2 linked regions of the Struthio camelus genome follow. The protein of the gene in region 2 interacts with the protein of the main gene of each other region in a pairwise test. Links are inferred from orthologs where the notes say so. Each region holds a gene or a part of one and is shown on either strand. Other genes may lie near its edges.

The links. The genes of interacting proteins can lie anywhere in the genome.
Region 1: the proteins of ADAMTSL4 (region 2) and AQP1 interact in a two-hybrid assay, tested with the Homo sapiens proteins (2 studies listed by BioGRID and IntAct). The link is inferred for Struthio camelus from reciprocal best matches to the Homo sapiens genes ADAMTSL4 and AQP1.

The regions. Positions count from the first base shown.
Region 1 is NC_090943.1:5,168,629-5,178,646, reverse strand, and holds the start of AQP1 (aquaporin-1), read left to right. Parts: upstream 1-5,381; 5' UTR 5,382-6,510; coding exon 6,511-6,900; intron 6,901-10,018. UniProt on the Homo sapiens protein: Forms a water channel that facilitates the transport of water across cell membranes, playing a crucial role in water homeostasis in various tissues.
Region 2 is NC_090971.1:2,661,953-2,671,632, reverse strand, and holds the start of ADAMTSL4 (ADAMTS-like protein 4), read left to right. Parts: upstream 1-3,988; 5' UTR 3,989-4,065; intron 4,066-5,808; 5' UTR 5,809-5,887; intron 5,888-6,682; 5' UTR 6,683-6,729; intron 6,730-9,071; 5' UTR 9,072-9,164; coding exon 9,165-9,196; intron 9,197-9,680. Other genes in the region: ECM1 (extracellular matrix protein 1), read left to right, coding at 330-413, 687-982, 1,092-1,475, 1,587-1,807, 2,117-2,204, 2,286-2,462. UniProt on the Homo sapiens protein: Positive regulation of apoptosis. May facilitate FBN1 microfibril biogenesis.

The DNA.
Region 1 (10,018 bases), on a different chromosome or scaffold from region 2:
CGTGGATTTAATACGTCCAGCTGACAAATTAGACTGTTGTCGTGTGATCACCCTGCCTGCGTTCACCCCAAGGCTTTCTCCTGCTTGGGAATTATGTCACAATTTTCACCTCAAGGTCTCCCTTTTATTTTTATATCAGCTCAACATCCAGTGCCCTATAACACTTGGCAGTTGAAAGAGATTTACTATTATAAGGAAGTCTGTGATGTTGAATCAGCACTTCAGACTGTGCCAAGCACAGGCTGTAAGCCTGAGCAACAGAGCCATGGTGAAACAGAGCATAGAGCAATGATGAAATCTGGGTAGCAAAACTTACAAAAATACACATGCAAAACCTTTCCCCAAAACAAGCACCCGAAAAACAAAATAACCAGCATTTCTCCAGTGGAGCCCCGCGAATTATGGGAGCGGAAGACTGACCCTGATTTTTGTCTGTACATTTAGAAGCAAACTGTGATCCATACTGAAAACTTTCCTATCGCAAGTAACAATGGTTTATTCACCTCCTGTGTTCGTAATGAACTACCAAGGCACAGTCAGGGATGTGTCATGCCCAGTATTCCTGGCAGACTTGTCATTTTATGTAACATAATGTGAAGGGGAAAAAAAAAAGAAAAGAAAAAGAAAAAACTTGGTCAACTTCCCAGTGATGCACTGGGCACAGGAAACTTAAAAGGACAATTGTTGCTAAATATGTTTGCTAAGGGGGAAAAAAAAAAAAAAAAAGAATTTAACCCTTAGTGTGGTAGTATTGCCAGAGAAACTAACCTTTCCACACGACGACTTGCGGGCACTTGTGACTCATAACACCATTTCCTTGGAAGAGATGATGCCGAGAACTTGGGGTGACGAGACAATCAGCCCTTTACCAAACCTTGTTCCTGGTGCAGGCTGATTTAGAAGTTGCCTGGGAAATTGCCTTTTACCTACCAGTTGGAAGACAATCAATCATCTTTATTATTTCGTATCATAGATGTGTTAAATAAAGAGTAGCAGTCCTTTGATGGACCTGATTGGTACAGCCCTTGTGGCCGTAGAATTAGGATTCCCAGAGAAAGTAAGTGTTTATTCTGGAGCTAGGCAGCCAGGGCACCCTAAATAGCTGTGGGAACGGTGTCAATGAATTGTAGATATCTAAAATGAAGCTGTGCAATCACAGAAATCCTGAAAATGTCCGCACTGCGCATTCACTAAAAAGTGAGCCAAAGGACGGCAGCTTAGTTGGAGACATTTTTGTGATAGATTCCTACAGTTAGGTGAGATACATGCCATCTCTGTGGCTTTGTTGCACTTACCATGAAAAAGCCTTCTATACAAACACATTCACTATTCCATTATATATTTTGTCAGGGTGTACAATAGAGTCTTTTATTCTCAGAGGAGAAAACAACTGGAGATGAAATTTGAAGCAAACTCTCCAAGGACATTACTGAATGATTTTCTTTTCGGACACCTTAGAAACCTCCTTCAAGAGGAAATAATTTTCTAATCATCGTCTTATTTGTCTAGATCAAATTGGTCATTGATATAAACAGGTTTACCTCTGCCGATATTGAATTTCATTCATTCATTTATACAGTCACAGATCTTGTTGCTTCATATATTCTGTGCTAAACTTCTCTCTCGCTTTTGTTTCTTTGTTTTGTGATCTTTTTTTCTTTACTATCTTATGATCTGGAAGAAAAGAAAAAAAAGGATGACTGGGAACAGGCATTGTATTAAGGAGGCTTACAAATCCATATGTAGTGATTAAAAAAAAAAAAAAAAGAAGGAAAGAAAATCCATCAAAAGAAAATTAGAATAAGCAGATAACCATGGTAGAATGTACAGGTTTTTATCTAAGAACAGGAAAAAATTTAGTGGGTCTGTAGAACCTACTGAATCATGAAATTTACTGAATATTACTGAATCATGAAATACCAAATGAAAATTAAACATGTGGACTCTATGCCTTTGCATCTTGCTCATTAGAGAGTGACACACCGTCTCTGATCCCAGCACAACAGTGATTCACAGAATTGATAACTTTTGATCCTCTCAGCTGAGATTTTGAGAGTTAAATCCAGCCTCACAAAGGGATTTAGATGTCCAGCTCTCTAAGAGGATATTAAAGGCTGTGAGTTTAGCATACAGGGAAAAGGGTCAGCTGAGCAGCTAAGAAAGGCATTCCCAGCAGTCGGTGTATTGAGCAAGTCGGCTGATAGGAAATGCTATGAGAGGAATATGAGAGGAATATGTCTGAAATCTTCCTTCTTTCCTGAATTTAGGATCATAAGTCAGGAATTCAGTGTGAAACCACCTCCAGTCTTGGACACCTAAGTCATGCTGTAGTGAACCAGTTATGCTCAGGTGTCTCTCTTGCAGAAAGATTCCTGAGAGTCTGTGCATTGACTCAATCACTGCCTTGTACTTTGTTATGATAACAATCAGGAGGAGGTCTTCTTCTAACCAGAAAGAGAACTGAGTCAGATCAAGAAGTAGCTCCTGACTGAAATAATAGTGATGTAAATTTGTTCAAATCAGTGGCATTATCCTAGACAAACACTAGTGTAATTTAAAACAGAATCTGGGTCTAAGTGTCTTCTCGAAGCATCGTTTCAATGAATATAAGAAATACATAACTATGTTTCCATTAGGCCCAGTGGAAACCACGGAAATCTTACCATCAAAGGGTGATTTACCATTAAGATCTAGAGCATGATTTCTCACAGAAAACCCAGCTTCTAAATTTCAACTTTCTATATGGATGGCACTGAATAGAGCACATGGGAAAATGTTTTCATTTCAGCTAACAGTGCCGAACTTCTTTCCATTTTTCTGAATTGCTGGGCTGTGAAAACATGGACCTACGATTCTTCACAGTGGTGAGAAAGTTAGCAATGCTTCAGAGAGGTGAAAATCTATAGGCGGAAAGTGGTTGTTGGTGTTTCCAGAACTGTGAGTAAAATATTCCTAGCAATCCCCACTTGCATGCTAAAACATTTGATTGACCCTACTAAAATACTTGGCTGGTGGAGTTGCAGGATGACTGCAATTCTTCTCAAGAAGAGAACAATTTTAGTTTGCTAAAGTGCCCCTGGTTCTGGTCATTTGGTCTCTGGACCGACATACGTTCCCTCTGCCCTTCAACGTTATTCCTTCACCTAAGTGGAAAATTCCCGGAGAAGTCATGTTAGCCAAGACCAAACTTGTAGTCACATTTGTTTCTTGTTCAAATAGTAGAGAGACTGTGAGCAATGTGACATGTGGGAGCACAGAACAAAGCCTGCCACTTAACCAATGAGTACATTTGTTTTCTGACTGAATTGTTAAGCAAGGATTGTGCTGCAGCCCTTCAGAATCTGATTTGTTTTAGAGGAAAAATGAGTCTGTCCTGGGATCCTGGCCATTAAATATCCACTTCTGTGAGGTTGATTCTTCTCTCAGCTGTCTCTAGTGCAAATAAATAATGTTAAGAGTGTATAGTGATTTAAATCATCTGTAAAGAATAACCCCACAGCTCAAAAGCTACTTTCTCCCTCTAGCTCCCATCAGATACGTGCCTGCCCTTCACTGCCTATCCTAAATACTTGTGTAAGCTTGGCGGTCATGTCTCCATTTCTAGCTGCATAATTCCAAAAAAACCCCGAAACTCATCTTCAAGTGTGATTTGACAATAAGCTATGAACCATGCCTAGAAAACCTGTCTGGACAAACCCAGCTCATCCATTGCACAAGACACTGGATTTTGCCCTTTTTTGGTTCACAGCAGTTTATGGGGACTGGGTCTATGGGTAGAAAACTTGACCAAGTGCTGGGGTATTTGTCATTAATCTGAGAAAGAATGGGGTGGAGCTCATTTTGGAGAAAAGCACCATACTGAACTGCGTTGTGGAGGAGATTTCTGAACAGACATTTCCCTAGGACAAACCGTGATGTCAAAGGGCTGGAATCATCACAAGGGGGTTAAATCTGCGGAGAGCGTTGCTGCTCTACTCATGCCTTGTCTTTCTCATGTGAGGGATTCCTTCTTGCCTTATCAGTACCGGTACAGAGGTTGTTAGGTAGTCCAAATCCTAATTGTAGGAAGAGGTGAGTAAAGAAGGAATTTCCTGCAGGCACAGCAGAATGGCAAGGCAGCTCCATCCCACGGATGCCAATTTGGGACACCTGGAAAGTACTTGCTCTTGTAAACTATTCATAGAGCTCTTCTTTCCCTCACTCAGTTCCCTGAGGTATGAGATATGCCTTGTGTCTTGGCCATTCTGTGGGTGGGACCGGAGAAGCTGGTCACTTCTGCTCTTCAAGTTTCAGAGAATGGATTTGCAATAAATAAAAATTCCACTGAATAAAATACTTAATTTAAATACTTGGTTAATTGACTGTGATTGTACCTCACATTAAAATTGGACACACTGTCTTGGGCAGAATTTGATTTCTTATTGGTCTAGCATGCGATTCCTCATTCTAGCCCCATTGCAATTAGAAGGGTAAAAGACAATAACTAACATATCCTAATTTATTTGATTTTTCCTGTTTTTGCCCCATTGGTACAGTTCTGTTGGGTAAGTGTATTATAAAACACAAAGAAATAAAAGTGGTTATTTTGGAAAATCAAGAACATCTGAGAACTAGAAAGCATAAGAGTTTGGGCATGACAGGCTGCAGACATCTAGATTTTTACTTAAGCAGTCTTCAGCTTTGCATCTGAACAAATTATTGAAAGCTCAATATATTTTAAAAGCCCTTCTTGACTGTCTAATGCTATCCAGGTGTGTATTTGACTTTGTCTTCATAGTGACATACTTCCTCGGTGAGAAAGCCTTGAATTAATTAAACTACAATTTAAAAGTTGACACCAGTGCATTAAAGCAAGAAGAAGAAGAAAGAAGAGGAGAGAGAGAGAAGTAAGCTGTTTTTAAATAGTCATCTTGCTTTCCAGACTTTGCCTGGGCAATTTGCTTCTGACCCTGGATCAGATCTGGTGCATCCTTGAAGTCAGAGCAAACCCTCTGACTTTGAGGCGAAGGCACCGCCAGCTGCGAAAGCGCGCAGAGATCTGATAACGCAGGGGTTAACCTAAGGCATGTATACAAACCTTGCTGCGATAACATCAGAAGAGGTTAGACCTTTTGCTCTTCGAGACGCTCTGGCACTGCTGGGAGATTCATTTTGTCTGCAAAATCAAGCGTGTAATTTCCCTTGTCCCGCAGTCTGTGTCTCTGTCTGCGGCCAGTGCCGTGCATCGGCGGCGGCAGCAGCCGGTCTCCCTGGTGACTGCCGGGACAGCTGACCTTCAGGAGAGGAGCGCTGGATGTCTGCAGGCTATACTTTCACTTCAGGATGTGGGTTAGGAAGCCCCCAGATTGGCTTTTTTCCTGCCGGTCGGAAGGAAGGCAGGAGAGCGAGCCCAGGGAAACCCTGAGACGCCTCTGGTTGGGACGGGGAGGGGGTGGGGGGAGGCGGAAAAAGTGAAGAAACGAAGTAAATGCCCATTTCATACGTCCCTCAGCACGATTTCTTCCCCTCCGCTTAAGCATAAACCTCTCAAGGGCAGAGCAAAAAGGGTGCAGAGAACCTGCGCTTCGACCTAGCGCTAATGCAAACCCCGTGCGCTGGCGGAGAGGAGCCGGGCACGGAGACGCGGGCTAGATCAGACTGGCTCTTCTGCAAACCCGAACGCCTCCTCTAGCTGCAGAGGGCAGCTCTTTCGGGTCCGAACCGCCGGCGTATGAAGCACCCAGCTGACCTGCAGTGGAGTTATTTCAGCTTTACGCGGTGGTCGCAGGGATTAGAACGACTCGCAACCGTTAGTCGGTCAAGACCTGTTTGTGTGAGTCTGTGTAAACATATATGTTTGTACATCTGTCAGGCTTGGCATCAGAAATGCGTCCAAGTCTGCGCAGAGCCAGCAGAGGAGAGGTTCCCACCTGTTTTCAAATGAAACGGAGTCATTTAAGTCCCTGGAGCGCCGATTTAGTTGTTGATTTTATTTATTGCTTTCGGATGTCACCGGCTGCCGGTGAAGCTGAGCATGAACAACTTACCAGCCTGCACAGATAACTTTTCTTTTTGTTTAGTCCAGCACGAGGGAGAAATCCTGTAAAAGCTCTCAGCCCAGTCTGTGGGCTGAATGGCGATAGAGAAGTCAAACGAGTGAAGGTAAAATTCCTGCGGTGCTCCTAAAGACTTTTCCAAAGATTTTAAAAAAGCCTCTTAAAAACGGCAGCAGAGATCGAAGGCTGTTAAGGGAAGGGGAAAAAAAAAAAAAGGGGGAAGAAAAAACTTTGGCAGGCATGCAGTGTCTTACATCAATCTAGCAGTCAGCATCTATGTAGATGTTCTTTCCTCCTTTTGTGCAACACCCCTTCCCTCCTACAGACCACCCAAAGCCCTATAAATAATCCAAGAACTCTATTTTTTCTCCAGATTTCTCTTCAGACCTCAAAGGGAAAATATCAAGCAGAAGAAGGGAGAGAGGGAGAAGAAGGGAAAGTGCGAGAGAGAGAGAGAGAGCGAGGGAAGGGAAAGATGGCTAGTGAATTCAAAAAGAAAATGTTCTGGAGGGCGGTGGTGGCTGAGTTCTTTGCCATGAGCCTCTTTATTTTTATCAGCATTGGCTCGGCTCTGGGTTTTAGTTTCCCGGTTGTGGGCAACAAAACGTCCACAAGGTCTCAAGACAACGTGAAGGTCTCGCTGGCTTTTGGGTTATCCATTGCTACCATGGCACAAAGCGTGGGCCACATCAGCGGTGCCCACCTGAACCCCGCGGTGACCCTGGGCCTTCTGCTGAGCTGCCAGATCAGCATCTTCAAGGCGCTCATGTACATCATCGCTCAGTGCCTGGGGGCAGTGGTGGCCACCGCGATCCTCTCGGGAGTCACCTCGTCTCTCCCAAACAACCTCCTGGGGCTCAACGCGGTAAGCAGAGAAACTTTTGATTCCTCCTTCATTTTTAATGTAGAAATGTGAGGGTAACACCAGCAAGCTACTAAGGGGGTGCGTGTGGGTGTGTGTGTGCGTATGTAGAGGGCGATGGTAGCTTCACTCAGCCAATGGCTCAGTTTAGGGGGGGGATCCAGTCCTGACTGATTGACGCCAGGGTGAATCTAGGATATAGGTACCCTGTGCTGTCAGCTTAAGCACTTTATTAATCCTTTTCCTTTGCAAGAGATGTCGTAGAGAAGGTCCCTTCTCCCCACCCCCTTTCTAAAGCTAGAGGACACTGTGGTCACGACCAGTTTTGCTCATGTTTAGTTTTGTATCTCTGCGTTGATAAAAGTCGCCTTTTGATGCCAATTTAGCATTGAAATCACTGCCAGTTGCGAGGTCGATCCCTGTGATGGTGCTAAAGGTCTCAGATAACATGCCTGCGACTTGCGATGCTGATGAATGTGCATACAGCGATGTTGTTTTCCCATGTGTGAATGTGGTTCTTTTTTCAATACCTAATTAATGATTTCTGTAGCCTGATGATGACTGCAATGTAAGAACCTATGGAAAAAGACACAGAGAGGGATGTGTAGCAAGAGGAAGCTGTGAGCATTACCTGTTGCATTAGGCTCAGTTCCTGCCTGACACAATGACAGCTGCGCTTTCCTTGTGCTCCTGCTTTTGCTATTCAAAAGATGAGGAAAACACTGAATTCTGAGATGTAAGCTGCAGAAAGAGGTGAGGCAATGACATTTAACAGGGATGAAGGTTTCAGCCCTCTTCTAGCCTGCTGCTCACAGCTATTAACAGTCGCATTGCATAAAAAGTACTTTGAATATTTCAGTGCTTGGCTGCAACTGTTCCCTCTAAAAATTGCTGTCATTTTATTGTTCTTATTTTAGCATAGCAGCCGTGAAAAGGATAGATACACTTTTTAAACATTAAATCATCCCATTGTCAGAGGCAGTCCCACAGCCACAAATATTTGGGTCACAATCCAAAGAGGAGTATTATAAGTGGAAATTCCCTTCTAGTCACTTTTCTCACCTGATGCTGTTAAGGACAAATATATCACATCTTTTCCGTGGCCCCTCTCTTGCAGACTATTTCTGGCTGCAGTCTGGGACTTGAACCTATTTGAAATATTATGTCCAGTTGAAGTCGTAGGGATATTTGGGACCTAAAGCTCCAAATCAAAGGTCTCTTCATAAATCATTTGGGCAAAAGGGGAAGAAAAAATAAACAAAAGTTAAATGCACAAATAGGGTAACATGTTTTAGCATGCTATGCCGTTATAGTTAACTCCAAAAGTGAGACTGTGAAGATTTTTTAAAACGTAATAAAAGTTGGTATTAAAAAGGTCATTCCTGAGTAGCCAAAGTGTATCATCCATCTCAGCATTACTCTGAGGGTTAGGTGCTTACCTCCCTCTTCGGAGTCTGGTGCCTGCAGGTACCTCCTTGTGCCACCACTTTTGAAATCTTAATAGGGTTAATCCAGCACATTCTGGGGAAGAAGAGAGAAGCTTTTTATTAACTCCAGAAGGCTCTGGCTGTGCATATGGTATGTGATCTCTCCCTCTGAAACCACTGGCAGAGGGAGCTGCTTAACCACATGGGACAGGGTATCCGCCCAAGTGGTTTCCTAGAGAGGTCTGACTGCCAGCTGCTATTAAACACGGGAGGTCTGGTTTCAGTAGCACTGTCATTCGGTCTTCCCCGTTTGCCTGCCACAAAACGTGGATGACTGGCTTCTTCCTCTATCCTAAAGCCCTGAAACTGGCCACTTGCAAAGTGGGTGTACGTGATCACCCGAAACTTTTCTTGACCCTGAGCTGGTAACTCTCCACGTTACGGCGATGTTATCTAGAGCTTTGCACAAGGATGTCTCAGAAGCGAAGAAGCTACAGAGGCAGGTGGAAAAAAATTCAGGAAAAGAGTGGAGAGAAAACCTGTGGCAGATAATAAAACAAAGAGGGTCCACTCTCAAGGGGAAACTGTGGCATAAGGGTCTCTCCCTTTGGAGAGCGCAGAACACACCACGGAGCTAAGGGGGTAATTTATTTATTTATCACTTCAGTGAAGCCAGATTTGCCCTTTGACCAGGCCACTCCTGAACACTACCTAGTTCTGTGGAGAAAACCTGTGTGGGGGGAATGCTCCTCTTCTTGAACTCGGTAGGTGTTTTGTCACTGATTTTGGTAAGGTTAGGAGACCTCACAAATGAACCTCACAAATTGCATCTTGAGATGGAAGCCTTACTCCCTCCCCCGGGAACTCTGTGAATACAATGGAATCCATCCTTTCCAAGACCATAAAAATCCATGATGGGAGAAAAGTGACATTTTAAGTCTCCATCACAACTGCATTGCAAATCTGGTAACCATTTCTCTAGGTAAATTAATCAGACTGTATAAAGTGGTTCCCGAATGTTATGACAAGCCCTGGTTTCTGTGCTTGTCATTGTCAAATATTCAGAAGAAATATATATATTTTTTCTCTTTCCCATCCAGTTCTAAGTGTTCTGGCAAGAATAGCAGTGGAGGGATCTCCCAGGAGATGGGGAGGGCAACAGCTGCTGTTTTCCCTTGCAAGAAGGAACTAGAGAAGAAAACAAATATATTCAATTCCCACTGACAGGCTGGGATTGACTGGGGAGGGGGAGATGAGGGTTGAGGGAAGTTGAGCCCAGCGCGGGGGAGAACAGCAGAACAGTTGTGCTTGTGCAGAACCAATCATAAAGGGGCATATCCTGAAATCTTAGTCTGGCACTATGAGCATGCTGCCTCCTTCAGCAAACAGGAGATAAGGAGAAACCACAGAGATTTGCTTTAATTCAACACTCTTCAACCTGAGGACAAGGAGGGGAGGGACAGGGCTGGCCTTCCTGCCAGCTACTTTGGCTACTTATCCTCTGGTGAAAGCAAGGGGCATATTCACTCTTGAGAAAGAAAATAGAAAGAAAGGAAGCGCTGGCTTTTGGCAGAGCTGGGAAGAGGGTTTGGACATGCAAGACAGTATTTTCTGTTCTGATCCTGCCATGGTCTTGGACTTGGGGTTTCTTACAGGAAAAACATGGTGGGAGCAATTTCGTGGATTCAGTGGCT
Region 2 (9,680 bases):
CCGGCTCCTGCGCCCCGGATGCCTGGGTCCCTAAGGGGGGGGGGGGCTCTGAGGGAGGCACCGGGTCAGGGGTAGCGCTGCCGGCGGCTGAAACGAGCTGGGACGGGTGGAACGAGTTGGCCAGGTCTCAGGCGGGGGAAACTGAGGCCCGGCCCTGGGAAGTGACTCAGGGCCGCGGGGCATGGCCCCGCGGGGCGACCGACCCTCGGCCTCGCGCCCCTTCCTTCCTCCTCTTCCTCCCGGCGGGTCCGGGTGCATGCGGTGGTGGTGGGGGGGGCACGGTTCCCCCCCGCCCGGGTCCGCTCACCCTGCGCCGTCCCCGCGCCCAGGTGCCGGCGCCGAGGCGGCCGCGGGGCCCCGCGAGCCCCCGGCCCAGGTGGGGCTGCTGCTGCGGCTCGAGGACCTGGAGCAAGGTGAGCCCCGGGGGTGGTGGGTGGGGGGACGCGGGGATGTGACCCCTGGGAAAGGGTGGGCGACGCGTCCTGTCCCCCCCCCCGGGGGATGTGACCCCCCCCCCTCCCCGGACGCGTGCCCCAGGGATGGGGGCGGAGGGACGGGGCGAGGGGGACGCATCCAGCAGGGCTGCAAGGACGTGTGTCCCGGGTGGGAGGCAGGGAAATCCCCCCCCGCCCCCAGCCCCGGGACGGGACCGCGGGCGCCCCGCCGTGACCCTGCTCGTCCCGCAGCCCCGGTGCTGCAGCAGGAGCGGGAGCTGGTGCTGCCCGTGCTGCGCTCCCCGGCGCCGTCGGCATCGTCCCCGGAGCGCTGGGGCAGCGACCTGGAGGACTTCCCCCCCGGGCGCCCCGCGGCCGCCACCATCGCCGACCTGTGCCGCCGGCCCCGGCCCCGGGACGCCTTGGGCGACCTGCCCCGCACCGGCTTCTCCCACCTGCGGCGCCAGGCGGACGCGCTGCAGCGCCTCGACGGCCGCCTCGACGCCTGCTGCCGCCGGCCCCAGCCCCTGCCCTGCGCCCAGCAGGCGGTGAGTCCCCTACGGGGGGGGGGGGGGCTTTTTGCTAATTTTTATGTTTATTGCATTTTTGCTGCAATATTATCTTTTTTTCATTATTTTCATTATTTTTGTTGCGCAGTGGGCGGAGGTGCTGGAGGACTTCTGCGCCGACGAGTTCAGGGTGAAGACCAGGCACTACTACTGCTGCAAGAGGAGAGGGGCCGAGCGCGAGCGCTGCTTCGCCGCCGCCGCTTCGCCCGCCCCGCTCGAGCTGCAGCCGCCGCCGGCCACCGCCGCCGCCGTGCCGCCCCTACCCCAGCCCGTTTTCCCCCCCGGCGAGCCCACCGCCGCCAACATCGGTAACATCTGCCGGCTGCGCAAATTCCGGCCCGTCTACGGCCCCGGCGCTTTCCCCCCGTCCGGCTTCGGCGCCGCCAAGAGCCGAGCGCGCGCCCTGGCCCGCCTGGAGCGCGACTACAAGACGTGCTGCCGCGCCGAGAGCGTCGAGTGCGCCCGCGCCGCCGTGAGTCCGGGCCGAGGGCGCCCCGGGGTGGGGGTCCCCCCCCCTCCCCTCCCCTCCCCACCTGGCCGGCGGCCGGGCCGATGCTCAGCTCTCCCCCCCCCCCCCTTGCAGTGGCAGAAGACGCTGGGGCGTTTCTGCGAGGAGGAGAGCGGCGTGAAGACGAAGCAGCACCGCTGCTGCAAGCGGGGCCGGGGCCCGGCCCGCTGGGGCTGCTTCGCCGGCGAGGCCCCGCATCCCGCCTACGACCGCGAGCTGCGCAACGCCAGCCTGGCCCGCCTCGGCCCCGCGCTGCTCGACGCCCTCTGCGGCCCCGCGCGCCTCCTGGCCAAGCAGTGAGTGCCGGCGGGCCCAGGCGTCCGGGCCCCGTTTCCACTCCTCCCCTCCGGGATGTTCCTCCAGATCCCCCACGCTGGCAGTGCTCAGAGGGACCCAGGCGTCCGGCCCCCCCCCCCCCCAAACCGGGCTCCCCCGACGGGGCGGGATATACGGGGCTGGGCCGCCCCCCGGCGGCGCTGGGCGGTACTGCAGGCCGGGGGGGGGGTTAGGGGGTGGCAGCGGGGGGCCCAGGCGTCCTGGCCCCCGCCGGGAGGATCCAGCCCTTGGGTTTACCCCGCTCACGGCGGTTCTCTCCGGCGCCGCAGGAAGCCGGTCCCGGCCCTGGTGCAGAGCATCACGGAGGCGTGCTGCCCGCGCGGCGGGGCCGAGCGCGTCGCCTGCGCCGAGGACCAGGTGAGCGCAGGGCCCCCGCCCCGCCTCCACGCGGGGGACCCAGGCGTCCGGGCCCTTCGTGACCTCCCGTCTCCTCCGCAGAAATCCCGCACCATCGCCGCCCTCTGCTCCTCGCAGCGGGACTCGTGGAAGGACCCCAAGCGATGCTGCGCGCACGGCACCGCAGAGGAGCAGCGCCGGTGCTTCGACGCCAGCTACCTGGCCAGCGTCTTGCTGGCCTCGACGGAGCCCGAGCTGCTGGCCGCGGAGCAGGATTAGACCGTCCGCCCCCCCCCCCTTGGCCATGCTGAGCCCCGGCAGGGCTGCGGACCCCGTCCCGAGCTCGCCGGGGGCATGACGGGACCGGGGGGGGGGGGCTGGGGCTGCACCGCGGCCCCTCTCCTGCCCCGCGACGGCCACGGGCTCCTGGGGCTCAATAAAGCCTTTCCCCGACAGCCCGGCTCCGCCTGCACCCTCGCGCCGCAGCCCTGCCTCGGTTTCCCCAAGGTGCGTCGGTTCCCCCCCACCCCGCCCCGGTGCCTCGGCCCCCCCGGCATGCCGGGGCCGCGGTGCAGGTGTGTCCGCGCAGGGTGCGCGTCTGTGCGGCCGCGTGCAGGCGTGCGCCGCGCGCCGGGGCCTGTTTGCGTGTCGGGGTGCGCCAGCGGCACCGCAGGGACCCAGGCGGGCGGGGTCCGCGGAGGTGGGAGTCCCGCAGGGTGGCGGGTCCGGCTGCGGGTCTGGCCGTGGGTCCGGGCGCACGTGGAGCTGCCCCGTCCCCCCCCACCCTGGTCTGCCTGCGTCTCCCCCTTCCTATGCCCCCCCACGTCCCAGTGTCCCCTGCGGTGTCCCCGTGCCCCCCACATCTCCATGGCCCCGCTGATGACTCCGTGGCCCCTGTTATGCCCCCATGTCCCCCATGGTGTCCCCCACGTCCCCGTACCCCCCATGTCCCCGGGTCCCTGGTGCCTGGCGGGGTCCCAGCGGGGCCGGAGGCTATTTTTGGGCCCTGGTGCTAATTCGGGAGCGTGCCGGGGCGGTGGCCGGATCCGGGGCCGTGTTTACGGGAGCCGCCCGGGAAGAGAGCAGGTCACACCGGGGTTCCCGGCCTGACCTCGACCGCTGCCAGCCCTTCCCGTGGCAGCGAGTTTGCACGGTCTCAGCTCCAAGGGCGATGCCTCCCCGGCCGGCGGTGGCGCCGGGTCCCAGACGCGCCGTCGCCCCAGCCAGCGAGCGGGGGGTGGGACGGGACGGGACTTGTGTCAACACAGCGGGAGCCGCCGCGGCCGCGTCCCCCCTCCCAGTCCCTCCCAGCCTCCCAGTAACCCCAGGGATCCCACGGCTGCCGCGGACCTCCTGGCTGCCGCCATGCGAGGCCTCGTCGAGTCCCAGTCACTAATTGCTCAGCTGGAGCCGCTGCCAAGAGCAGCTCGGCGCAATTAAAAGCACTTCACGGTGCGAGGCCGGGGCCCTGGCGAAGCCCCGCAGAGGGGATTGCTCCCTGGGGGAAACTGAGGCACGCAGTTTTGCACGGGAGACATTGCCATCGCGCTGCCACCGAGGCTGGCGCCAGTGCCCTGGTCCCAGCTGAAGTTTGCTCGTCTGCATCCGGCGCCCCTGGGCCACCCCCCCCCCGGCATCCACCTTTTTTTGCACCTTTTTGCATCATTTTTGGAACCCCCCCTGCCTTTTTGCAACCCTCTTTTTGCCTCCGCCTGGGATGGGGCTCCAGCAGCCTGACCGGGGCAGACCCGGCTCTCACCTTGCCCCAGGGCCGCAGCGGGGTGTGGAGGGGTAAAAGTCGCGTCCCTTTGTGGCTGCTTGCCTCAGTTTCCCCTCGCCATGCATCAGGGCTCCTTGCCGCTGCGGACGGGATCGATCAGAGGTAATGGGGGGACGCGACGCCGGGATGAGCCCCCCTGCCTGCGCGCCACCACGGCCTGTCACCGGGCCCCGCGGCTGGCGTTGGTGGGGACAGGGGTGGCCGCCCCGGTCCTCCCGCTGGCCACCGGGCCGCTGACACAGCGAGGTCACCAGCCTCGTCCCTCACCAGAGAGCCCGGCCGGTGCCCGCTGGGTCAGTGACGGCCGTGGGCTGGGGACGTGGCACGGGCTGGGGACGGCGCACAGCTCGGGGACGGCCGGGACCGTGGGCCGGGGCCGGACGGCGGGTGGCTATGGGGTGGGGGGCTGCGGATGTCCCCGACGGCCTGGCGACAAGGCACGGGCCGGGAGCCCCGCACGAGGCTCGGGGACGGCGCAGGGGTGCAGGGATCGGGCTGGGGGGGGCCGGAGGTGCGGGGCAGAGCGGGGGTCGGGGGCACCCCCCGGGGCCGTGGGGCAGCAGCGCTCCCCCCCCCCCGGCCGGTCCCCCCGGGCGCAGCGCAGCGCAGCGGGGCCGGGGCCGGGCGGGGGCCGGGCCGGGGCTGCGCCGCCCCCGCTCCGCGCCGAGCGGTGCCGAGCCTGGGGCGTCCATGGGGCGGCCGCGAGGTGCGCGGAGCCGGGGACCGGGACCGGGGACCGGGGCGGGCCGGGGAAGGGGGGAGCGGGGCTGGGTCAGGGGCGGGGAACCGGGACCGGGGGAAGAGCACCGGGATCGGCGACGCGGCGGAGAAGGAGCGGGTCGGCGGCCGGGCCGGTAACCGCGAGCGGGGAGGGGGACCGGGCCGGGGATGGGGGACCGGGGACCGGGGAGGGGGCGAAGCGGTTGGCGGCGGGGGTCGGGCCGGGGCCACCCGGTCCCGGGGCCGGGAGCGACTCGATTCGGGCTGAAACTCGCCTTTTTCGGGTTGGGACTGACCCGGTTCGGAGTGGCGGGGGGGGGGGGGGAGGGGGGGAGGGTGAAATTGACCATTTCGAGCTGAAATTGACCCTGTTCGGGATGAAACTGACCAGCCCCCGCTGCCTGCACCCGGGCTGCCGGGGGGGACCGGGCCGGGGCAGCCGCAGCGGCGGCCTCGCCGAGGGGGGGCTGGAGCACCGGGACGGTGAGAGCGGTGTGGGCAGGGGTCCTGGACCGCAACCCCCTTCCCCACCCCGCAGCCCCCTTCCCTATGCCCTTCTGCAGCCCCCAGCCCCTTTTCCCAGCCCTCAAACCTCTTCCCCGCCTTCAGCCCTTTCCCCATCCTGTAGCCCCTTCCCCAACTCTCTTTCCCAGCTCACAACCCCCTTTCTGAGCCCTCAAACCCCTTCCCCATCCCGCAGCCCCTTCCCCAGCCTGCAGCCCCCTTCCCCAGGTCACAAACCCTTTCCCCTGCCTTCAGCCCCTTCCCCACCCCCTTCCCCAGCTCACAAGCTCCTTCCCCTGCTTGCAGCCCCCTTCCCCGTTCCCTTGCCCAGCCCGCAGCCCCTTCCTCATCCTGCCATCCCCCTCCCCAGCCCAGCCCCTCATCAGCTCCATGTGCAGCATCCCTGGATGGGGGGACAACTGGCATCCAGGGGGGGCTGCTGGGTGCCCACGTTTCTGGCCACCAGGACTCTGTCCGCATCCTTCCCTGGCTACTCCATCCCTTTGCTGCCCCGTTCCCCATCCTTCTGTGCCTGGATGCTCCCTCTCTTCGGCTCCCCCTGCCCCCCCCCCGTGCTTTGCCACCCTGGGACCAGCTTTTCCCCCCTTTCCTTCATGGCAGCCCCGGGAGCCCCCAGGCTTGGAGGACCCCAGCCCGCGGCCACCCCTGTCCCCTCAGGCTGTGACCGTTCAGCGAGCAGGTAAGGGGGGGCCGGGGGGCCTCCGGGCTGCTGAAATGCCCTGGGAAGGGCATCTCTCCTGCCTGTGATTGCATTCCCCCCCCCGGAGCCATCCCTGCCGGGCAGGGCAGAGCTGCGGAAACAATGTGCTGGGCGGCTGCTGATACACCGGCCACCATGTGCTCTATTTTTATATCTTTATTTATACAGATATAACAGTTAGGGCTTTTTTCGGGGGTGGGCCGGACGGCCCAGGCGTGGAGGGCAGGCTGCGCGTCGGGCAGTGCCCTCCACATGCCATCGGAGGCACGGAAAAGTCCCCGGGTATTTTTATACCTGTTTTTTTTTTTTTTTTATTTTCCCTCCTCCACCAGGGTGGGAGATATTCCAGCCAGTCTGCTCACATTTTCAAATATAGATAGCCCAGGCAACAAGTGGTTTCTCAGCCGTCTTAACGCAAGCTGCTTTCGTGCTCCTGCGGCTGCCGGGCCTGATCCCGACCTCTCCGTGCCCTGGCCCGCAGGTCGCTCCGGACGGCTTCCCCTCCGGCTCTGCTTTGTGCCGGTGGAAACAGCAAACGGATCCCTTCTCCTCTTCCGCCGTGGCATCCAAAAATACTTCAAATTCCTTCATTTCAAAGGGCTTGGGGCGGGGGGGGGGGGGGAGGCGGACGGACAGACGCAGGGCAGGACAAGGTGACCCGGTCGCTAGCAGGAGCCGGCCGGAGCCGAAGGATCCCAGCAGCAGCCCAGATCTCTGCTTTGCCTCCGGGCTGCCTTCCTCCCCCCCCCCCAACTCTTTCCCCTCCTTTTCCAGTGCTGTTTTTGGAGACCTGGCTGTTTCTTTTCTCCGGCAGCCCAAAGGTGCGTCTTTGTGCAGGGAGAGGATCAAACAGGGAAAGGGGAAAAGCTGAGCAGGCTCCTGCCGGCACAGGGAAGGAGGCGGTTTGCCAGCCCCCGGGCACCGTTTGGGGCCAGAGCCAAGGCTTTTGGCTGCCACTGCTGCTCCATCCCGGACCGGGGAGGTAAAACTGCTGCAACAGCGACCTCGCTGCCTGCCCGGGTGGTCCGGGAGGAAACAGCGGCTGGAGGCTTCGCTTGACTCCGGGAGCTGATGCTTGCAGCTGGGCGTGATCCTGCTGGGGGCCGATTTCCTCCAAAACCACCCCGAAAACCAAACCACCCCCAAAACCACCGAAAACCCCTCGTTGGGGCTGCTCATCAGTTGCTTTGGCCTCCCCACAGGGCCCCGGAGCCGGTTGCTGCCCGAACGTGTGTCTGAGGGGGAGTTTTGGGGGGGGGTTTCTCTGGGACAAACAAGATCTGGCCTTGGGGAGCACTGGGAAAGGTGTTTTCCCCCCCCGCCCAAAACAGCCGGCCCAGCATCCTCCCCTTGCAGAAGGGCTCCAGGGCGGAGCTGCACGTTGGTGGGCACTGTTGGCAAAATGCTTTTTTTGTAGGGGTGTGTGGGGGGGCAGTATTTGGGGCGAGGAATGTCCCCGTGTGGCCTGGCTCAGGTACAAGGTGCCTCTGGCACCTGCTTCCCAGCCCAAAATGCCGTAATCCTGCATTCCCCCTGCAAGACCAAACCGGGGCCTCGCTGGTGCCTCTGGCCGGCCCTTCCCAGCCGCTGGCTCTTGGCACTGAGCAGGGCCCGTTCGGCAGCCAAATCTGGGCCTCCGAAGGGGAGAGGATCCCTTGTGGGGCCTCCATCCCCACTGCTGGCTCCCCCCAACTCGGGAAAGGCGGGTGCGAGTGCTGGGAGGTCATGCTGAAGGGCACCGGCAAGGCTGCAGAGCCCTGGCATGCTCGGTGCATGGGTGGCAGCATGACTGCAGGGTGCTTGCTCCTTGGGCTCATGCTCCTGGCTTCATCTTGGCCCAGGACGGGGCACGGGAGCCAGGGGAGGACCCAGGAGTCCTGGCTTGGCCTGAGCCCATCTCTGCAGGGGGAAGAGAGGGATCTGTACCGGCAGCCAGAGCTGGGCCTGGTGGGCAGAAAAGCCACCGCGGGCAGCCGCCCTTTGCACCCGCCGGTTTTAGTTTCTGCCCTTGGTGCTGAGGCTGGAAGGGAGGGAGGAAAAAGTGCAATTTTAGGGTGCTGCAGCATCGCGATCCCGCTCGCGGCAGCAGCAGGGGGCTCCTGGGAGCGGCGGGCGAGGGGGAAACTGGGCTCTTTTCCATCCCGCCGGCTCTTGCACGGCTTTTTCGCCAGGCCTCCACCGTCTTGGCACCCAGCGGTGCTTTTATTCATTGTTTGTCGGCACGTTGCAAGAAGGCCCCGCTTGCCTGTTCGCTCCCCGGCCTCAAATCTCCCCTCCTGTGCACCGCCCGAAAACATCTGGCCGGCCGGCGGGGCCGATGCCGCCGGCTCTGGCCGCGGCGCAGGGCTCTCACTCGGCCCCGCTGCTGCTCCTCTGGGACGTGCCAAGCAAATGTCCTGGTAGGGCCTGATGTTTTCCAGCTTTCTGGGAGTTTTTTCCAAGCGTGAACCGCAGCGGCGGGTGGGACCTGACCACCGGGGAGACGAGGTCGGCTTAAAATTTCCTCCCCGCCCTCCGAGGAGCAGGAATGGCTCCATGACTCCGTCCATGCCTCGGTTTCCCCCGCAGTGAGGCCGGAGCAGGGTAGGATTAATTAGCGGCGGGCTGACGAGGCTGGTGGAGGACTGGGCGTTATTAACTCGCCGGGCTCCTGCCCAGAGCCGCCCTTTCCCGCGGTGGCCTCGTCCCCTCCCCAGGATTAGCCCCAGTGGAGGAGGGAGGCATTATCAGGGCTTAATGCCCCACAGTCGGGTTGCCAAGTGCTTATGCCTAATCCTCTTCCTCACCACGGTAAAACCCACCCCGAGCAGCCGCCAGGCTTATTTTTGGGCCGGGAGGGGTGGATTTTGGGGGCGCCTTGGTTTGCTCCGCTCTGTCGGTGCAGCAGTGATTTATTACTCCCAGCGGAGGGCTCTGGCCGGACCGTGGCGAGATAAAAATATCCGAGCATCATCCTGGCGGCTGGCAGGGAGGGACCGGGGCCGGCCCCGGCAGGCGCCTGGCAGGAGCTAGGAGGTCCCTTTGCCCCAGCCCTGGCCACGTCCCACCCTGGTGTCCCTGGGGTGTCTTGGGGCTGTTCCCCTCATTTTAATCCCATTGAGGGTGGACGGGCATTGCCACCCACAGGTGCTGGGGTTATTTATTCCTTTGACTTCAATTGCAGAGACTGTCCCTGGAGTCTGGGGCCGATGCTGAAGCCTGGCCGAGGTCCGTGAGAGTCAGAGCGTCTGCTGGGGAGGAGAGGAGCCCAGGAGCCATGGGGGCTTGGCACGCAGGCTGGCTTGGCAGGTACCACCAGAGGGAAATGCTGAGCTGGGGGCTGGGAATGGCTCCGCCGCACCAGCACGTCCCCATGGGCCCCCCCCTGGCTTGGGGTGGCATGGGGAAAGGGCCAGCGCCCCAGCCTTGTGGTGCACGGGGGGGGGGGGGGCTGGTTGCAGGGAGAGGGGTGGATGAGAGGGTGAAGTAGGCAGAGGTCCACCACAGGGTGTCTGTGAGCTTTTATTCTCCACTATCCATCCATCCATCCCTAGATCCTTCCATCCCTTCCCAGATACATTATCCACTGTCCATCCATTTGTCCTTCCCTAGAGCCATCCATCCCCAGATATCCTATCTACTCATCCATCCATCCATCCTCCCATCTGACCATCTCCAGATCCATCCATCCTCAGACTCTCCATCTATTGGTCCATTCACCCATCTGTCCATCTCCAGATCCATCCACAGATGCTCCATCTAGCCATCCATCCATCCATCTCCAGATCCAACC